Lytechinus pictus: one gene and its partner. The protein of the gene in region 2 purifies or fractionates together with the protein of the main gene of each other region. This does not show direct contact. Links are inferred from orthologs where the notes say so. Each region holds a gene or a part of one and is shown on either strand. Other genes may lie near its edges.

What was found.
Region 1: the proteins of nucleolar protein 58-like (region 2) and NHP2-like protein 1 fractionate together in Homo sapiens (co-fractionation; 3 studies listed by BioGRID and IntAct, with this or other methods). This does not show direct contact. The link is inferred for Lytechinus pictus from reciprocal best matches to the Homo sapiens genes NOP58 and SNU13.

What each region holds. Positions count from the first base shown.
Region 1 is NC_087254.1:23,670,427-23,681,908, reverse strand, and holds the start of NHP2-like protein 1, read right to left. Parts: upstream 5,179-11,482; 5' UTR 4,839-5,178; coding exon 4,836-4,838; intron 1-4,835. Other genes in the region: 26S proteasome non-ATPase regulatory subunit 10-like, read left to right, coding at 9,624-9,725.
Region 2 is NC_087245.1:3,759,830-3,770,936, forward strand, and holds the start of nucleolar protein 58-like, read left to right. Parts: upstream 1-6,973; 5' UTR 6,974-7,058; coding exon 7,059-7,103; intron 7,104-11,107. Other genes in the region: uncharacterized protein LOC135156108, read right to left, coding at 1-875. UniProt on the Homo sapiens protein: Required for the biogenesis of box C/D snoRNAs such as U3, U8 and U14 snoRNAs. Part of the small subunit (SSU) processome, first precursor of the small eukaryotic ribosomal subunit.

The DNA.
Region 1 (11,482 bases), on a different chromosome or scaffold from region 2:
CGCAAGCCAAGATCAAACAGATTCCAACAAAAAGAAATTTTTCTACCTTTAGGCGGTAATGAGAGACCTCATAATTTTTAAATTCAATACGTTGCATTCATAAATCTAACCAAATGTCAAATTTAATCAAATTTGGACATCATTCCATGAACTAGATCCTGTGAAAATTGTTGCCCCATTTTTGTGTTGAAAAAGTCAATGGACAAAAATTTGATTTATTTGGCTAAATAAAATTGCAAATTTTCACTTCCAAATCCAGGCTGGACTTTATATGACAAGTAGTTATAAAAGGTATCTGTTCAAATCATTTTATTTTCAGCCCGCGGTACCCTTTTAAAGCAATCACTTGTCAGCATAACTTAAGCGTATGCTCACTCAATAAAATTACATGTGAAAAGTTCCAAAAAGTCATATAGCATGAACAAAGATTGAGTTGTATTAAGTCTAATTTGAGCTATGATAATAAATTATGAGGCCTAAAGGGGGGGGGGGGATCATTTATGTATCGGGAATTCAGAATAAAGGTGACTAAACTTCTAAGTGACAGATTCGATATTTTCAAATAAAATCAGACCAAAATTGAATTGATTTGAGATATAGATAGCATCGTCCATTACTACGGTCAGCCACTATGCTTTATCAACTTTAAAGGAGAATGAAACGCTTGAAACCAGCTGAATCCATATCAAAGAGAAAAATCAAAGAAACATATTGTTGAAAGTTTGAGGAAGATTGAATGAATAATAAGAAAGTTATGAGCATTCGAATATTGAGATCACTAGTGCCATGTAGATCCTCCCAACGGCAATGCGACCAAGATCTGTGATATCACACACGTACAACTCCCTCATTACTTTAGTACTTATTTCACTTATATTCTCACTTTTATAGAGTCTATCACAAGGTGAGGTGTTCTCTTTATGAGATGACAAGTACAGAGGTTTCACAACATTATATCATTGATGAATCGTTTGTCATATGATTAGAATGAGCAAAAAGAGATGTTTTGGGGTATATTTTCAGTGTCCAAATGGGAGAGTTGTACGTGTGTGACATCACAGATCTTGGTCGCATTGCCAATGGGAGGATCTCCATAGCATTAGTGATCTCGACATTCAAATGCTCATAACTCTTTTATTGCTAGTCCTATTTTACTCAAAGTTTTGTTGATCTTATTCTTTGATTTTTCTGCTTTCACAAAAGCTAACTTGCTCCAAGAGTTTCATTCTCCTTTAATGTAAAATGTTTCCTTTTGTAGAGCTGTAGTGTGAACAGGGTTCTTGAATAGTGACATTTTAAATAAATAATTCTTCTTAATCATCATCTTCCGTTAGTCATCGAAATTCCATCGTCTTCCACCATATTCTCTACATTCTTTCCAACATACAAGATTCACTCTTCCATCTCCGTCTTTCATTTTCAATACTCGTGTTCATACATACAATGTACATGTACTTCACTGTAAATAAGCTCTTACTCTCTGATTGGTTCCCTCCCAGCCTTAGGTCCATTAAAGGTCAAGTCTACCCCAGAAATATATTGATTTGAATCAATAGAGAAAAATCAAGTAAGCACAACACTGAAAATTTCATCATCTACATGTATGTCACCAATTTGCTCCGTTCGGACTCCCTGCCAAATGAAGGCAACCCGCTAGCATGCTGTCATCTTGATTTCTGTGCAAATTCAATGTGGTCAAGTTTTTCTGTGCTTGTTTTTTATGTCATTTTGAAGATTGTAAATTTGCGAGAAAGTTCATGAACTTTGAAGAAAAACTACAGATTTCTTTAAATTTTAGTGCATTTTCGGAGATCCCGCTTGTTAAATCTGAGATGAGCTGCCACATACTCTGGAAATATGGAACAGATTCTACATTTTTAAGCCAAAGGGCAAAATTTGACATTTTGACTTTTCAAAGGGGATTTTGGAGTCGAGTAGAAATCAAGACCTTCCTGAGGTGAGTAATAGTGCTGTCTACTTGGAGTGTGTTGTGGCGATTGACTGCTGGATTTTTAAATAAGTTTTGAGTCGACTACCTCAAGTGATGTCCATGTAGGCTAGACTCCATTTCACTACCGCTTATCTATGCTTCACCTACCCGATCATCAAGGTGGTGAACTCGTTCTGATACTCCGAGTGATATATGTGGGATTTTATGGGGGTAAATATAAAACTCATGCAACAACACGATCTTTAAAAACAATAAAAACTAATATTCTTACCTTTCACAAAGTTTCACTTCTTTTCCATGCTTCTTTAATTTCCTGAACGTATTAGTTTACTGCCGATTCCAAAACATCGCAAAGGCAAATTGCGCGGAATTTGCAGCTCAATTCATGAATATTCATGAGGACTATACATCCATATCTGATGCAAATGCAAAATGATCTCGATGTTTAGTCCTACTCATGAATATTCATGAATTGAGCTGCTGATAGAAGCGTGGAAAAGAAGTGAAACTTTGTGAAAAGTAAGAAAATTGATGTAATTTGTTTAGATTTTATGAAAGCCTTTGACAAGGTACCTCACCGTCGACTGCTTGAAAAGGTTTGGTATAAATGAACAGGTGGTTATTCGAGGCATTCCTTGTTGGAAGGAGACAGAGAGTGTGTGTGAATGGCGAGTTCTCAAGTTGGGGACATGTAGATAGCGGAATTTCGCAAGGGAGTGTTCTTGGCCCGTGCTGTTTTTGTTATATATCAATGATCTCCCAGATGTTGTTACTGGAAGTAATGTTTATCTTTTTGCAGATGATACCAAGCTGTTCAAGTATATAAGAGATCAGAATGATTGCAATTCACTCCAGAGAGATCTTGACCATTTGAAATGCGGGTCAGAAAAATGGCTGCTGAAATTCAACCCCAAGAAATGTAGTGTACTCTCTATTGGTATCACGCAGGACCGGCAGGAAGCTTTTGCATACACTTTAATGAATGATGCGCTTGAACATGTCACCTCCGAAAGGGACTTGGGTGTTGTGATTGATGATAAACTCAGCTTTGAAGAGCACATGCAATCGAAGATAAACAAGGCCAACAGGCTTATGGGCTTGATCAGACGAACTTTTGTATATCTAGACAAAAATAACTTTGCATTGTTGTATAAGTCGCTTGTCCGACCACAAGTTGAGTATGCCCATGCTGTGTGGAACCCCGTACTGAAAAAACATATACATGCATTAGAGAACGTACAAAGAAGGGCAACAAAATTAGTCCCTGAATTAAGGAAGCTTTCCTATCCACAACGACTTAAACGATTAAAAATCCCAACTCTGGCGTATCAAAGAGTTAGGGGTGATATGATTGAAACATATAAACACTTTAATAATTATGATCAATGTACAAAACTTAATCTCGAAGAAAAATATCGTGAACATACCAGAGGTCACAGTAAAAAATTGTTCATAACAAGGACAAAGACCCAGAAATATAGGAAGTCTTTTTATGTTAGAATACGTAAGACATGGAATAGCCTAAATAATGAAGTTGTCACTGCCCCAAGTGTGCACAGTTTTGAAGCTGCCCTGGATACATTAGATGCTGGAAAAATGAGCCAAATAAAATATGGCTACGAAGTACGAAAGCCCTGTTCTCGGAAGTGAGCCAGCCATCTTGAGGAAAAACCTAGAACTCAATAGAGGCATAACATGCCTACATTCAGAAACTTCCCAAGGTATCCCTAGGTAATATCAGTTTTTAAAGGTCAAGTTGTTGCATGAGTTTATTCTCCCCCTAAAATCTCACCTTTGTCACTCGGAGTATCAGAGCGAGTGGTCCTACTACTACTAGCTAGACCATGTAGACTAAGTCTAGTAATGGACAGAATTTTTTATTTAGTGTTCACATCGGATCAATCATGGGAAAAAAAACAGAAAAATAAACATTTTTTTTCATCAGAAATACAAATGTACGGACAGGTCTGCAGCTGCATCAGATCACAATCACACAAAAAAATCGAAAACTCAACATGAAAAATACTGTACTTTGTACAAAATCAAAACAAAATACAATTTCATTTTCAAGACAATCAACAGTAGACAAATCAAATTCAAAAGCAAGACCAAATACTTCCAAGATAAAACCTACATTACAGGCCTCATCAACTGTCAACCTTTCGGCGTCGTTACAACTTAAAGGGGAATGAAACCTTTGGAACAAGTGTCTCTTTTCGCTTTTTCTTATGGTGATACAAACTCTTTATCCATGATGTATTCTTTAAAAATCTGTATTACCGGTACATGCTCTCTTATAGAAGAACACACGATCTACTTATAGATGTGATAAAAGAGGCAGTGTTAGTGAAATATATACTAAAGTAATGGGGAGAGTTGTTCACAAGTGACATCACACATCTTTGTCGCATTGCCAATGTGAGGATCTCGTCATAGGCATAGCATTAGTGATCACAATATTCTGAAATGCTCATAATTCATATAACTTTCTCATTATTTGTCTCATTTTTGTTCTCAAACTTTTGTTGATCTGTTTCTTTGATTTTTCTATTTTCACACAAGCTATCTTTGTTCAGAGGTTTCATTTTCCTTTAAGTTACAGGTACATGGTTCGACTTGGTTCGTCATGAAACAGGCCCTAGCCATTAGTCCATTCCCATCATCTGCGTATGCGATTCTCGCCCACGAACATCCCATGTATCTTATCACGTTTTCGTGATTCAGTATTAGAATTGCACACGAGATAAATCGCTGAGCCGAGTTTATCGTATTGCCGTATTATAAATTGGTTGTGCAGGATGCACATTTTCAACAAATAATGCTAAAATAATTAATCAAACATGCGTGAAATGTACCACGAATTCGAAATAAGTATGTAACATACCATATTAGAGAGTTTCTTGGATTGGTTAGGATAGAAAAAGATGAATTTCGGTCCTCTCGGCGTTGCGCTTCACTGAGGCCTAACGAGCTCCACGTGCGTATACTTATGGAAAGCAAATAATGGGGATATCGGATCGATCGGATACGTATATATATATACGTATACATATATATGCATGCGATGTTATGCGCCGCGCTCGTATGCTAAAAACGAAGTCCGAGACAAGTGAGCTGCTGGGCAAACCCTTCACTCGAGTTATAGGGTCTGAATGTGCAGCCTATCCATGTCTTGTGTACTGAAGGCCCTCTCGCTCAGAATTGAAACAGCAAGTTTTGTTTGTGCTAGTCTTTACGTGGAGACGCACTTGCTGATCAATCATGGTCTGTTAAGAGTTAGGTTTAAAAAACAAACAAAAAAATATTCAGAAAAGTGTTATTAATATTGAAGGAGAATTATGTCATGATAATCTAAAGATAGCCAACGAATTTAACAATTATTTCACAACAGTGGCCGATAAATTATCTTGTGAGCTCCCCATTACGGACAGAAATGAGTTTGGGGCCGACAGTCCTAATTAAAAAAAAACTATATAAAAGGTATACAAAGAGGCTGTTTTAATTTTTCTCCTGCCACAGAAAAGTTTGTATTAGATGAATTATCCAAGTTGAAAATATCAAAAAGTATCGGACTTGACTTGGTTCCTGCTAGATTTTTAAAGGATGGTGCAAAAAATGTCTTTATACCTTTAACTAACACTATTAACCTATATATTTCAACTTGTACCTTCCCTGATGAAATGAAAATCGCTAAAGTCACACCACTACACAAAAAGAAAGACAAAACTCATGTTGGGAATTATAGACCTATTAGTGTGTTAAGCATATAGTGTCGAAAATTTTGGAGAAATGCGTGTATTCTCAAATTGAGAAATACTTTAAAGAATACAAAATCATTTATGAATTTCAGTCTGGTTTTAGGAATGGTTATTCTACTGAAACATGTTTAATTCACTTGTTGGATTTTGTTAGGAATGAAATTTCCGAAGGCCGTTATGTTGGGATGGTTCTTCTTGACTTAAAAAAAGCATTCGATACAGTTAATCATGAAATACTCTTAAAGAAATTAGAAGTGATGGGTTTGAATTCAGCATGCTTGAATTGGTTTAGGTCTTACTTGACCAATCGCCGTCAAGTGGTATCCATGCAAAATGTACTTTCATATTCTATGCCTATAAACTGCGGAGTTCCACAGGGGAGCATATTAGGTCCCATTCTTTTTATGTGCTATATCAATGATATGTGTAATTGTGTTAATGAAAGTAAATTACTTTTATATGCAGACGACAGTGTTTTACTCTATTCTGATACAAGTCCTAAGCTGATCGGTGAAAAACTTAGCTTAGAATTATCAAATTGTGTTAAATGGATGACAGATAATAAGCTTAGCTTACATGTTGGTAAGACTGAAAGTATTTTGTTTTGTTCGCGGGGTAAGTCTAAGCATACAGATTATTTCAATATATACTATAACAATCAATTAATTAAGAGACAGAATTCCGTGAAGTATTTAGGCCTGATATTGAATAGTGATCTCTCATGTACATCTATTGTAAAAAAAGCTAATGCTCGCTTGAAATTTCTATATACCGGTACCAAAACTGCATGAATACGAAATCCAGACGCATTTTAAGCTTTTCATTAATACAGTGTTTATTTGATTATGCTAATGCAGCATGGTACTGCAGTCTTGGAAAGGTTGATCAAAAAAAGTGTATAATTATTCAAAATAAGATTGTTAGATTTATTACTTGCTTACACCCAAGAACACATGTTGGGAAGAATGAAGTCGAAAAAGCTGACCTTCTTCGCATAGACCTGAGGTCGCAACAACTTATACTTCACCATGTTCATAAAACTTTCTATTCAAACGAATATCATTACATATCAAAAAAATTTGTTCACATTCAAGAAGGCCGAACAAAATCATGCGGATATATTTAAAGGGGAATCCAGCCTTGGCCATAAAATGTTGTGTTGGGAAGGAGAAAAAATGAATTAAACAGAATGGTGAAAGTTTGAAAGAAATCGGACAAGCAATAAGAAAGTTATAGCTGCTTTAAAATTGAGATCACTAATAGTATGTAGATTTCAAATTGGCAACTGGGTAAGGAAATTATGACAATGGGCAAGGACAACTTTCCCATAGGCCATGTACTTTATTATCAGGGATTTGTGGTTTTCTCCTAAGTACCCATTCCCCTGGGGCAGTTATCTAAATATAACCCAGGTAATATATTGTTTAATGTCCTCATGAAAGAAAAATATAATTTGAAATAAAACTTTTTGAAAAAATGACATTTTAGGCATAATATGTATTGGAGTACATGGAAGAGTAGTCCTTGCCTTACATCACTATGACATCCCATATGCGGCCAATTTGAAGTCTCCATGAATATAGTGATTACCAATATTTACAACTTTTAAAAATTCATAACTTTCTTGTTGTTTGTCCAATATTGTTCAAACTTTCACCTATCAACTTGTCTGAATTTTCCTTTCCTTATAAAAACAAGTTTTTATTTGGGTTGGATTCCCCTTTAAGGTTCAGGGCTGGGGGGGGGGGGGGGTGGGCTGCGTGGGCCTATAATAGCTGTTACAATTGCCAGAGATTTTCTTTTTCGCAACAGGCCTCTGACTTTCATGACCTTGTAGGCCTAATTAAGCTGAAATCGCATTATGTGCAAGCTAGCTTATAAAACCTAAAAATGTGAGGCGTGCCCCTTCTTATGTTTTGTGGTTTTTTTAAGGAGGGGGGTGGGAGGAACTAGGAGAAAAGAGGATAAAGATGGAGAGAAAACAAGAAAGAATGGAGGAATAAGCTATACACGCAGGCGCGGTTCTATATAGACTTAACTTTTTTTACGGGGGGGGGGTCTTCTGGGGGCTTGAAATATTTTTGACGTTGGTTTTTTTCAATACAATAAAAATGGCCTATTGTGGATAGCCTTATACACACCAATTAGCTAGTCACCCTCCTATGAAATTTTCTAATATTGTGCGAGGCAGCATAGCGACCGAGAAAAAAAAATCAAAATGCTTGAGAATTTTTCATCTCATTTATTATGCATTAGGGCCTGATCGGTGTTACAGATGTAGATGAGGACATTTAACGATAGAAAGGGGGGCGGGGGTAGGACTGGATAGGCAGGAAATTGGTTTGTGTTAATTGTTACCCAGTCCTGAGGCGTTTTTTAAACTTTGAACGTAAAAAGGTATAGAACATGGCAGGAGATGGGGTTTTAATATGACACCCCTTAAAAATACGAGGGGATGTGGTGACCAGGGAGAAAATGTTTGAAGCCAAACCTAGAATTTGAAGCACTTATGATCTTTACAAATAATAATGTAATTAAGCCTATATACACCTGCAGCAAATAATACTGAATGGGATACTTATTCAACAAAACGGCCAAATGATATACCCTGCACAACATCCCAGTATAACACAAAAGAATACACATATCCTATGTGGCCTATTGAAGACCAGTCAAATCATTTACATCTAATAATAATAATAATACATTAGATTTGTATAGCACACTTTCCATCTTGATTAGATGCTCTAAGGCGGAGCGCTTTTGATGACCAAAGTCCAAAACACGACAGGTTTTATTCAATTTTATGGCATTTCGTGGTGGGTGAATACATTATGGAGGTTAAGTTGCAAGGCAGTCTACTATATAGCTTAGCTATTGCAGGAGATTATTGATTTCATTAATGTGTTCTTCATTTAGATGATATTTTGCGAGGGAGCGTTTAGCGACCGAGCGAGAAAATTTTTGAATTTGAATATTAAAAACTTTTATTTTAGAGCACTTGACGACATGAATGAAATAATTATATAGGCCTTCGCTTATAGGACCTATATATATATATATATATATATATATATATATATATATATATATATATATATATATAAATATATATATATTTGTTTTCTTTGTGGTCGATTTTTTTTTTTTTTGGGGGGGGGGGGGCTTCAGTCCCAAAACCCGGGGGTCTGGGTCGATCAGTTAAATCATGGAATACGGGGGGAATAACCCCGTTGAGAAACACACCCGGTAGGTCAAGTCCACCCCAGAAAAATATTGATTATTTTAATAACTAGAGAAAAATCAAACTAGCAAAACGCTGAAAATTCCATCAAAATCGGATGTAAAATAAGCCTATGACATTTTAAAGTTTGCTTATTTTTCACAAAACACTAGTGATATGTACAACTCAAATGAGACAGTCGATGATGTCCCTCACTCACTATTTCTTTTGTTTTTTATTGTTTGAATTATACAATATTTCATTCTTTATAGATGATGCTGAAGAGCTGTATAAACCTTAATGAGAAAGAGTGAGTATATATTGTATCATAAATTATGGGGAAGTTCTGGGAGTATACACTGTAGTCTATGTATAAAACATATGGAAATGAAAACAATTCAAAGTATAAGTTTACTCTAATTTTTATCACTTCCCCCATCTGATTATGCTATATTATGATATTATATATATATATATATTTTTTTTAGTGGGGGTGCATATGGAACTCTTACCAAATTTTTAGTGTTATGCGTTAACTGTTAAGCTAACTTGAGAAAGAATATATTCTCTTTGCGTTCAGATCAGACTTCAGTGGCACTTCATATGTGGTGTGAAAACGTCTGCTATTTCAACTAAACTGCCTATAGCTAGTCACGTTTGTGTCGAATTTTAGTTCATATTTACTTTGATTATGGCTTCAGATGACATTTGGAAGTTGGCATACGGAGGAGACCTCTCCGCATTGAGAGTGAAATTATCGGAGAATAATTCGCTGCTCTTGAAATTAGATCAGGTTTGCAAGTATACCAAATTACTTTCACTGTCGTCGATGTGCATGTGTCGCGACTGAACTACACGTAGACGTAGTCCCACTTGTTAGATTCCATGTAATGTTACCGTTTGTGTTTGGCTATTCAGCGCAGCTCAGCTCAGCTGGGAGGCCGAGGCGGAGTTCAACTTGAGCTCGCGGAGCGGAGGGATCAGGAGGAAACTCCGCCGCGCCCGCCGCCGAAGCCTGCTTTGCGTTGGCAGAAAGTATGTCAGGCATGCACTTTGCTCAACATCTCTTGCAATTGTGTAGACAAATGATTCCCGCATGACTCCGCAGCTATATTTTATACTTTATATATAGGTCATACAGAAAGGGAAATATGCTTTTGTGATGATTGATAATTACTTTTTCGCCGCATCCATCTTGGTCTGGTTATGTGTAGTACATAATTCGGAGGCATGCGAAAATAAACTATGCAATATGTCCTGAAATATGACTCAAATTTGCTCGACTGGGCATGTGCGGGCACTCATCTGGCATATACAGTAATGAACAACAGTCAATATTCCATCAACCACAATTGATAGGTATGTGCGAATACGGGCGCATCGCGAGCGCTGGTTTTGGCTGCACGGTTTTCGCGCGGGTTTCGCTGCAAGTGGCATCGCCTCTGTCTGGGAGGCTCATCGAAAATGGGGTTTCATGCGCATGCGCACATAGTTGATGCAATCTCGTGCCTTGATACAGACAGTTGAAAATGTGCTCTTTCTGTACATATAAGTTTCAATGTGGATACTCGCCTGTGAAGTGTGGATATCGGAGCTTGAAAGTTCATCAAATTTTTGGATGCGCAAATGATCGAAATTTTTTAATGGTAAGTAGAACTACGATCCAATTATGTATCTGAATTGTTATAGAATATATTCAAATCAACAAAAAAAATCAAAATTAAAAGATTCTATCGTTGAGCTGTCCAGATATAAGAGACGCGAGCTACCCTTGTCACAGCCGGTCTCTCGGCAGTCGAGCTGCCCGATGCGGTGGGCTCCCGTCCGTCTTTCGGCAGTCGAGCTACCGGTACCCAATGCGGAGGGCTTGGTGACGGGAGCGGTCGATAGTGAGTCGTTCATGCTGGATTGAACTGGATCTAAATTGTTTACTTGATAATATTGTGCCTTTTTCTGAAAATGTCTGTCATTATACCGTAGATTGTTATTCTGATATTGATTTAAATTTATACATTTTGTCACAAAAACATTCTTTCCTCCTAAGGTTATAGAGTCAACATGTTTTACTTTGATTGTTCAATCATGTTTTATCATTTGGAAACTGGATTCTTTTGGAAGTGGAATATTAATGTTGACTTATTAAATTAAAATGCAAAATCTATAGTGTTTCTTTTTTTTCTTTTGTAGAAAAAAAATATATTTTGAAACTTTTCAATCATGTTTCATTATTTTGAGACTGAATTTGCTTTTGAAAGGGGAATATCATAAATGTTGACTTTTTAATTAAAATGCAAAAATTGTTAATTTTTCAGTTTCTTTTTTTATATATTTTTTAAAGTTTCTTTTTTAAATTATTGTATTGTTTATTTTTTCATTTTTGGGGGGTCATATTTCATTATTAGGAGACTGGATTTGCTTTTGAAAGGAGAATATCTTAAATGTTGATTTTTTTTATTAAAATGCACGAACTAGATGTTGTTTATTTTTTTGTTGTAATTTTTTTCACTCTTGTAAGAAAATACATGAAAACTCAGAGGAAAGAATATTTCA
Region 2 (11,107 bases):
ATCCTGCAAGTGTCGTCTGTGTCTCTTCTGAGGATAGATTTTTCGTAGGCACGGGTCCTCACCACCTGGTCCTGAATAGCATAGACGAACCCTTCAGTTTCACCTCTTAGTCCCGCCGACTTAAGCCATTGATGTGTGTCTTTCTGGTCTACGAACTCCCGATGCGTCTGTTTTTCATGGTGGCCATGAAGTCGCTTGGATTTAAGTTGCTCTTGAAGTTTCTTGTGAAAGGAGCATTTAAGTCTTGCCTTCTCTTTTTCACCGTAGGGTAGTGTCAGTCGATGTTGTGCCAATAAGATAGATGCTTGCTTGTTAATGGAGTATATTGCTTGACATTTATCATAATCGAGGGATATACTCGTCAGTATATCAGGTGGATTGGATAGGTAGTTGGCGAGGTTCGTTGCTTCCATATTCCAGACCATCCCAATTTGTTGTAGACCTCTTCCTCCAAGATCACGGGGAAGGTACAACCTTTCGATTGCGGCCTTTGGGTGATGTAATCTGTGCATCGTTAATTGCTTTCTGGTCATAACATCTAGGCCACATATATCAGCTAGTCTCCAGTTAACAATACCAAAACTGTATCTAAGCACAGGAATGGCTAGTGTGTTGATCGCTTCAATCTTATTTTTGGCATTCAGTTCGGATTTGAGGATCAGCCTGAGTCTTCTTTTGTATTCTGATGTTGCCTTCTCCTTCATTGTGTTATGGCTAATGACATCGTTCTCAGCTATGCCTAGATATTTATATGTCGAATCATTAGTCAGTTCCTTGATTGATGTTTCCTCATCTTGCACAAACATGTCGCCTGTATTTACCCTCCTTCCTCGTACAAGTGTAACTTTGGCACACTTGTCTATACCAAACGACATCTTGATGTCATCGCTGAAATGTTTAACTACTGCTATCATCTTGTGAAGTTCATCGTCATTTTTTGCAAAGAGTTTGATATCATCCATATATATCAGATGGTTTATTGTCGTAGATACATCTTGCCCTTTGTATCTGTAGCCATAACTCGTAGCGTGTAAGAGAGAGCATACTGGATTATTATTATTATTAATATTATTAATATTAATATTATTATCATTATTATTATTATCATTATCATTATTATTATATAGTAGTGGTAGTAGTAGTAGTAGTAGTAGTAGTTATAGTATTAGGAGTAGTAGTAGTATTAGTAGTAGTATTGTTTGTTCATACATAACTTTCATACATAACTTTAAAAAAAAATCAAGAGAAAGGAATAATTTTATTAGAGTAAAGTTTATTTTTCTATCTAAAAATAGCTGCGTGTCTTGTTACGAGAATATAGCCTTCTTGTGCAGCTTTTATATTTAGTGAAAGACGGTGTTGATAAAATGATATAGAATGGGGTAATCAGAAAAAAGGAGTTTGTGGCACCAAATTCCTACGAAAAATAAATTGTAGTTGCTTGTGCATGAGAGAGCAGATTTGAATAAGAAAATTTGTTATTGTTTTATGGCAAAAATTAGCATTGTAAAGCAAAAATACTAAACTTATATAACATGATATACAAACTCAAGCGAGCCATTTCAAAGACTCATAGTGTCGGGAGCAGTGAAAGGATGTGAAAACATTCAAAATTTGAAGAGTGAAAATGCTGTTTTGGAGCACTCTGACTACAGCTTGAGTAGGATGCTTTGACAGCATTTACTATACATTTTTTTTTCAGTTTTCAAAATTTCGGGGGGGGGGTGGACTACTGAGGGAGAAACGCTCCTGACTGAGGGGGCAATGCCCCCACCCCTGCTGCCACCACTGCCAGTGGTAGATCATTAATAGAGGATAGTTTGGCCCTTATGATTTATGTCAAGCCTTATGTTGTGTTTCCAGATTAAAAGATTAAAAAGGCGAAAAGAATCGCGGACGTACACAGTAAAAACGCTGTTTAAGATTTTATACAACGCTGTTTACTATATGAACCTTACAGTATTTGTTTAACCGATTAAACAATCATGTTTAATTTATTGACAATTAGATATTGAAAATTAAACTATGTTGCTTAAGATTAAAACAGTTGTTTAAACTGTTTAAGCAATTACTGTAAGGTTCATATAGTAGACAGCGTTGTATAAATTTTGTTACTGTGTGCTGATAAAAATTAGATTTTTAGCATGTTGGACGATTTGGACAATGGACCAGATGGCTTTAGACCCTAAACGGAATCAATGATATCAATGGCTACCTCCTCCCACCGTCATTAATTTTTGGTTATCTAGTCATTACAAATTTGAAATTTGATAACATCATAAACAAAAAAGTGAATTTCCGTTCCATCTATACGAGCAGAAATACGTCATACCGTTGCACTTGTGTAAAAAAAACAAAATAATAATAAAGTAAGGAGCACGCATATTTGCCGAATGTTCTGACAGCTTATGTCAGGAATCTTATTCCCAACGTAATTTTAATACATTCACATTTATATATATACAGAGGTCGGTTACTATTCCAAAATGTTCTTAAAATGTCAAATTTTCCGGTCTAGATACCAAAAATGTTCAGCTCGCGCTGCCTTTTAGTTTTACCTGCCTAAAACTGTATATTGCGGACATTATATTGCTCTGTTATCTTGCCATATTTTCATTATTGTAAGTTGGTCTGATGTTCTTTCGCATACCAAAGCCATCTTAAACTGTTAAAAAGTATTGTTTCCTTCAAAATTACGGTACTTATCTTTTCTGCAGACGACAACATAGCATTAGCCTACACCAAAATTAAAAAAAAAATTATTCCCTAAAATTGCTAAAATTAGACGATATCAATGACCTTTAGCAGTGTAATTTTCTGTACAGGTGTTTAAATTCTCAAATTCCACAAAAATTCCATAATACTTTTACACGTGACACATACATTATTTTGATACCCGCTAAAATCCCGGCTCAAACAATCAAATATTTATTCCTAAACATAGAAAAATTATTTTCCAACACAATTATACTGGCCCGAAAAAATTGAAAACTATCTCGGACTACAAAAAAAATCTTTGTCAACAACTAGCTTCAAGTATAAAATGAACAAAAAAATGTTTTTGTCATTTTAATGTATGAATATCTTCATCTTTCCTTTTGACTTTTATTTAACATGATATTATAAACTTGCTGTTGCAGCAATTTTTTTTCATACCTCGTACAATTGGTGTACGCTCTCTTTTTTACTATATAGTTCATGCCCGTCTCCCCGCTCACGTCTCGATCTCTTTCTCGTTCCATTCCCCTCTCATCTTCTCTCTACCCTTTCTATAGCCCTTCTTCTTTTCTTTGTATTGTTCACTGTGTATACTGGCATATCCCGCCACAAACCTTTTCTTTATGCCTTCTGCTGTTAACATAGCATGTACATATTTATATTCATCACGGCAAACTGATTTTTGCATGAATTTATGTTTACAAAAATGTAGAAATTTGTCAATGGAAGAAAATAAATGTTTATTTGAATTTAATTGATTATTGATTTTTTTGTGTGTTTTAGTTCAGCATGTAAAACAAATTCAGCCCGTGCTTAACCCTTGCATCACTTTTAGTCCAACTCCAAATGTTTTGTTAAAATAAAAGTTTGATTTGAATGAAAAGAGAAAAATCAAACAAACGCAACGCTGAAAATTTCATCAGGATGACATCTTAAAATTTGCTTAATTTCGTTAAACAATTTTTCCTGACCGGTATGCAAATGAACATATCGATGAAGTCACCCATTCACAATTTCTATTGTGTTTTTTAGAAGAAATACTTTATTTTTCTCATAAAAGTTTGATTCCTCCCGGATGCCATTTGTTGTAATTTAATTCAATGGATTGTCGCGCCTTATTTTCAAATGTGCAAAAATGTATAGGAATATTGTATAACTTATCAATAAGATATGAAAATAGTGAATAAGTCATCATCTCTTATTTTTAAATCACATGTTGTGCATAGTAACTGTTTTGTAATATGTATGTATACAGAAATATATATATATATATATATATATATATATATATATATATATATATATATATATACATATACATATATATATACATGTATATATATAAAATCTTAAAATGTCATATCTTTCTTATTTTACACCCGATCCTACGAAAATTGTCAGTGTTGAATTTGTTTGATTTTTCTCTTTTTATTCCAATCAAACTTTTATTGCCAAAAGCTTTTATTTGTTTAGGACTTAAAAAAAATATAACAGCATAATCAACAAACACAGTGTAATAACACAAACTGAAAATGATCAGAAGCCCCTTTCATAGATTGTTTATATATACCGTGGTAATATCAAATGATATGATAAATAACACTGAATACAAAAATATGCGACTCAGAGGTAGATGCTAGTTGCTAGACCAGATCCCGGGGGGGGGGGGGGACTTCCATTGACGAGTGGATACCATGCGCGACTATGGGGTCCTGAAAAGCACCCTAAATAAGTATTTTCCATATTCTGATAATGCACCCATTAACAAGTATTGGCGTGTGAAACCCTACCCTTAACAGGTATTGGAAACAAATGGCAAGTATTCCCTGAATTGAACCACTAAACAAGTACAGCGATATTTTAATTGTTAGAAATATGTCACGGACGTCGGTTTACCTACATCATTGGGTTTAGTACGGCCCCACCTCGCTCAAATCGGACTCTTAACACGTAGTCATGTAGTGATGACTGTTGGGGCAAAAAGTACATCCTTCATATAACATTTTAGTCTTTTTACCCTCGCAAAGCTTTCCTAGCGAAATAGATACCCTTTTTCATTATTTTAGTGTTTTGACGTACGTAACGTGCCCTATGTTGAAAAAGACATCCTTTTTACTAGTTTTTTTTTTTTTGGTCGCGCATGGTATCCACTCGTCAATGTAAGCAGGGGCGTAACAGGGTTCGGTGGCCAGGTGGGGGGGGGGGGGGGGCAACAGCCAAAAATTTCCCGGTCATATCATGGTATGAACAGGCGTAATGGTGTTTTGAGGCGACAATTTTGAGAGGGCCAGATATTGCGTATCGGGCAGGATTTTTGTTTTGTTTTTTTAAAGTTGCGAGCGAGCGAGCAAAAATTTTGAATTTTTTCTTACAAAAATCCAATTTTGACATGATATCCAGAGAAAAATATATTTCACCCTTCTCTCTTTCCATTCCCTTTTCTTTTTTGGTCTGTACGCCACTGTAAACAGGATTCTTTTCGGCAGTAGCGTGAAGAGTAAAAAAAGAAACGAGGGGCGTAGTATGGCGCATGTGCTAAAAAGGTGCTTAATATAAGTCCCGAGCGAGCGAAGCGATCGAGAAAAAAATCACCTTTTCATGAGAATCTAACTTTGAGATATTTTTTGACATTATATTCAGTAAATAAAATCATATCCTACACTTTTCCTTTGCTTTTCTTTCCTCCTTTTTTTGTTCTTGGTTGTAGAACTTTTGGGGACCATGGCCCAACCATTCCATAATCATATACGGCAGTGCTTTGCTGTTGGGGACCTTGGCGGAGCCCCCGGAACTTCTTGATATCAAAGCCATTTTAAACCTCGCAGATTGCCGCTATTTTTAATAAAATCGCGGGTATATACATAATATACTCATTTACATAACACATTTACTCATCCCAGTTGCGTAATGAGCCAAATATTTTGAGGGGGCACGATATATATAGCAAAGCGGGAAAATTTGTAAATAGTCGCCAGCGAGCAAAGCGAAGCTGGAAAAAGATGCCTATTGAAATTAGATAACTAATTATGAGACAGATTTTTCCATTATATTCAGCAAATAACACATTTCATTTTTTCCATTCATTCCATTACGTTGTCTCCTATAATTTCTTTTATTTCCTCTTGGGTGTGGAATCAAGACCCCCCCCCCCGCCTGTACGCCAGTGATGGAACGTAAAGCTTAATGTAGGAAGGGTCCCTGCATGGCGTTATAGAGCCATTTGAAGGTTATAGATGAAGAGCCCCTACTTACTGCGTGGGGTCTGGGGCAGAGCCCGGTAGCTCATTATTTTCATGAAAATTATCAAGCCTATAGCAAAATGTTGTATGCAGTCCATCTTTCTTCCCACTCTTTATTTTCAATCCTCGCTAGCCCGGTCGTGTTATTAAGTTTTTTTTTTTTTTTCCCCTATTCTTCGTTTTCCAATTTAGCTTTTGGCTAATTCCATTCTACCTTCATTTCCCGCTTTTGTTTGCCATTTTGTCATCTTTTGATTTATTTCCCTTTCTTACTAATCATGCTGTGGCATTACATAGGCCCATTTCGGAATGATTTGTTCTTTCTCAAATGTTCTTCTTTCGTTTCTTTTCCCGCTTTCCTTTCTTTTCCATTTTTTCTTCGTTTTCTTTTGATCCCTTTCCTTTTCCTCCTTTCCTTTTCCCCTTTCCTTCTTTCCCTTTCGCTTTCTTTTCCATCCCTTTTCTCTTTTTCTCGTTTTTTTTTATTTTCCCGGTGAAATCCGCCAGGGGGGGCAGCTTGCCCCCCTGCCCCCCGCCTGTTACGCCACTGAATGTAAGTGCTCCCCCCCCCCCCCAGGGGGACCAGATATGCGTCTGACTACTAGTAACTGAAATGCGAGAGCAATGATCTGTATTTTTCTAACGAATTAAATATCACGGTCAGTCCGGTGAACTGTAGCCTATAATATACTATAGACGGAGGCTAGGTGAACTGAGGAAGAAGTTGTCGCAGAATTGAAGACAATTAATGGGTCTGAATATCAGACTAGGAGCTGAGCTGGCTGTAATGCATGACAATCCTATCGCTAGTCTGCTGGGCAAACCCTTCGCTCGAGTTAAGGGTCTGAATGTGCAGCCTACTCATGCCTTGTGCACTGAAGGCTCTCTCGCGAAGGACAGCAAGTTTTGTATGTGCTAGTCTTTGCGTGGAGGCACCCTTGTTGATCAAAGTTCCAATGAGGGTCTGGGCCTGCAGACTATCCTATCGCTGCGTTTGGTGATTTTTCTACATGTGGCCGGTCGGTCCCATTTGCATATGCAGTACCGCGTGGTCGTTGCGGCTGTTGAGAATCCACAATCACGAACGAAAAGCTTGCAATTATGTTGGTCCTCTTTGAATCGCCGGCAGGATATGCCATTTTTAAGGTAGATTATTTTGCATATTAGCTACAAATATTACTTTTATGTGAAATCATGTGATAGGTGCATGAAATTAATTGCGTATTGGTGATTATGAAACTATATCATTCTTGTGTCCAGTCCCATTGCCTCACATTTGTGTTGGTTGTAGGTAGATGTAATTTAGATCTGAGACTTGAGAGTGAGACGTGACACTGTAACTTGTTAAGTCATTGACATTGTAAGTACTATAACTAAGTGTAATTACACTTAACCATTGTAATTTAAGTTAGTTGTAACAGTCTAGTTGAGTCCATTCAAACAAGCTGTTAATATTTTTTTGGATAACAAAATCTGCATATTTTCCCCTGTAAATTACTGACACTATAGTATAGGCCCTACTGAAATTTGAATATCTCCGTCAATATTTCAGACGCAGTGCTTGGGGGGGGGGCACTCAGTATATAAGGCATAGTGGGTACGTGTCGCGGAGGGGACCCCAATTTTTACACTCAAATTTCTGTTCCAAGGCATAACATTTTTGTCTTAATTATTGAGAAAAACAAAGAAAGCCGCTCCAAAGCATAGCATTTTCTTATCGTGAAAAAAGAAATCCGCTCCAAAGGCAAAGCTTCGTATATTTTCCGTTACGCCGTTCCGTCTGCATTGATCTGCTACAATGAGCCGCAATTTTGGTGAAAAGCGGCCGCAGAGTGCTGTCCAACTATCGCCTCTGCGCTATTTGATGAGATTCCTTAAGTTCAAGATTTAAAAAAGTCACTGAATTCCCTACATAAAATGGCAGTCTTCGGAGTCTTGAATCAACGACTGCTAAAATAAATGCAATGGTCTGGAACTTGCCACATAGAAATGGGGGTCTCCGGAACTCCTATGACTGCGCCGATCAACCTCGCTGCTCTGAGTAGTTCAAGATGGGCATACACTGGAACGAGAAACCACAAATTTGAGGGTCTCTGGAACGGGGTAAAATAGGAATTGCTTTGGCGTTCTAAATTTGTGATGCTCTGGGGAGCGTTTCATGAAAGGACTTGTCGGACGTTTTATCCGACAAGTCCCATTTTATCCGACAGTTACTATAGTAACAGTGCAGTGCCTCTCAGCCAATCAGAATCAAGGAAAGATGTCAGATCTGAAAATGTTGATGAAATGGTCCCCTGTAATGTAAATTTAGGCTGATATTGCAGAGCGGCCGGTAAACAAACAGTCATACACTCATATATACCGTAAGTAACGGACTATAAACCGCACCCGAGTATTAACCGCACCCCCAACTTTGGACTAAAAAAAAAAAAAAAAAAAAAAAAAAAAAAATCCTTCTCACATATTTGAGGTACGAAGAAACAAAAACTCAGTTAAAGATTTCAAGGTATCCAAAGAGATTACCGGTATGCGAAAATCTGCTGTTCTTGATCAATTCATCTAAATGTTAGCAAGAAAGAAAAGTCCCGACAATATTGGCCACTTACAAGTTACACACTCACCTCACAGTCACAGTGTACACACACACAGCACTGCTGTTCTTACATTGCAAACTTAGATACGGTACCAGCAGTACATCTTATCAAATTATGATGTGTCTTTCCCAGCGTAGGAGGAAGAAACATTCACATTTCTTGCATCACAACCTCACAATCACTTTCAGAATTTGTCTAGCATTCGATGTCTTAGCATGAATTTTGGATACGGGATTACAGGAAGGTTCAAGAAACAAAGAAATTGGCATTTTTTCCAATTGTTATACGGCTTTGTGCCGTCTCTCTCGTTGCGTGGTGTACATGGTATCTTATGAAAAGCAAACGAGAAAGAAAAAATAAGCTGGCGCGAAACGGGACTTTCGCGGCCGGGAGGGGTTAAAATGAATAGCGCCAGCTTAAGTCGCACTATATAGCCACAATACAATGCAAGCTAGCTCTAGCTCTCAGCTGTGACAAAATATTACCGAGTATGCTTGGTTTCTCTTTGAACTTAGCCAGGGTACTTCGCTGCTTTGAATCGAGAATAAAGTCGAAATTAGTGTCATGAAGGTGGGTGCGTTTGTTATGGACAATATTTGATTAAGATCGATTAATAATCGCTTCCCATTACCCGCGGCTCATACCCCTCTAAATGACATTGCCCTGGGCGGCTACCCCCGGCCACTCGATGTGTTGTGAACTTGCAGACGTCTTACATGTTCGGGAGGGGTTACGGCGGGCTGGCTCAGACCCGTCACCGTGGATAAACCGCACCCCCGACTTTTGCTTCTATCTCGCCGAGAAAAAGGTGCGGTTAATAGACCGTTACTTACGGTAATCTATTGGGAAAATGGTCCTACCTTATCACTCTGTCTCTAGCTCCTATCGTCAGGCACACTCACTCATAAAGCGAAGTCCGTACCATCCTTGGGTTGTGTGTAGTACTAGTGCAGTGGTGGTGAGTGAAGATCTATATTGTATTCATATTCCCGCCGGTGGGTCATGTGATTCGCGAATGGAGTGGTGTCTGCTTAAACTACTAGTGATCCCCCCTAACACCATACTTCCCCCACCCTAAAAAAATTGGGTGACCTATTTTCTATATAACTTAATATAACTGAACATACTTAACTTAGCATAAGGTATAACTTAACATAAGGTAACACTAAACATAAAGTATACATCAACATACATTTGTTGTGTTTGTTCTTCCTCTTTTTTGTTTTCTTGATCATATCTTTTTCTTTCTTTTCTTTTTTCTTATTCTTTGATTTCTTTTTTTTTCTTTTTCTTCTTTCGTTTTTCTTTTTCTCTTCTTGATTTTTTCTTCTGTGATCTTTTTTGTTCTTTTTATCTTCTTCTGTAATCTTTTTATTTTCTTCTTTTGTGATCTTTTTCTTTTCTTTCTCTGTGATCTTTTTCTTTTTTCTGACTCTTATTTGTTCATAAACATAAATATAACAAATATATACATCAATATATATACATCATTACCAATCATAAATAATATTCTTACCTTGTCTCTGCCATGATATAAATTAATTAAATAAGATTACTGCGTGTAACTATGTACCAAGGTAAAAATGAATATGTAAAATAATAAATATATGCATGTATACATATAGGATATTGCCAACCACCTAACTTTTCTATTTTATTAATACATTAATATATATACAATAAGGGATGCGTACAAAATAAATTGGGTAATAAATTACAGGTGAAATTATGTCGTAAATTATAGGCATCCATTTTATCTTTCTTGTATTGCATTAAAGTATACTTCATATAAAAAAAAAAATTTGCCTCCGACGAAGATTCTGCTAGGATCGAAAGCTTAGGCCCCTTTTGACTTACTAATTTACTCCATTGGCTCTCATATTAGATAAGCAGCTTTCAGCAGCTTCTTTTTGCCATTCATATAAAATAAATAGATTCGCACAGTGGTAGGCAGAGACAGGTGCAAGAGAGTAGCATTGTCCCTTTATTTGAGGCAATAGAACTCCCTCGTATTAGTCTGCCATAACCAGGATTGATACTCAATTCAAGATGGACACGTTCCATGGGGGCGCTTGCATGAAAACCTTTCGTAGGATGCCTCCCAGAACGGGTCGCTTTCTTGTTTTACAAGTTGCACACCTGGCTTTGCAGATGCGAGTGTCTTCCGACATGCCGTATCGGTAGTACTGAGTGCTACCGATCCCAGCATGCCCTGCTGAAGGAGGATCATGACTAAGCCGAATGATGTAACGTCTCAGTGATTCAGGAATCACCATTACATCACTCTCGTCCTCCATTAAGATAACTCCTTCTTTATAAAGGTAGAAGAGTTCCCTGTTTGTCCACAAAAAATTTCCATTGGGCGGGAGGAGAAACAGAGTCTCTTCAACCGTCTCTTTCTTGTCAACCACTTGCAGAGGGGCTTGAGGAGTTGGTCTCGTTTCTCGTGATTCGTGATCTTGACTAAATTGTCCGAAGGTGGTTCCTCTGCCACCTCACCTGGGTCAACTATTCGGATCTGAAATGAATTGGCTTTGTTGAAGGATATATCTATGC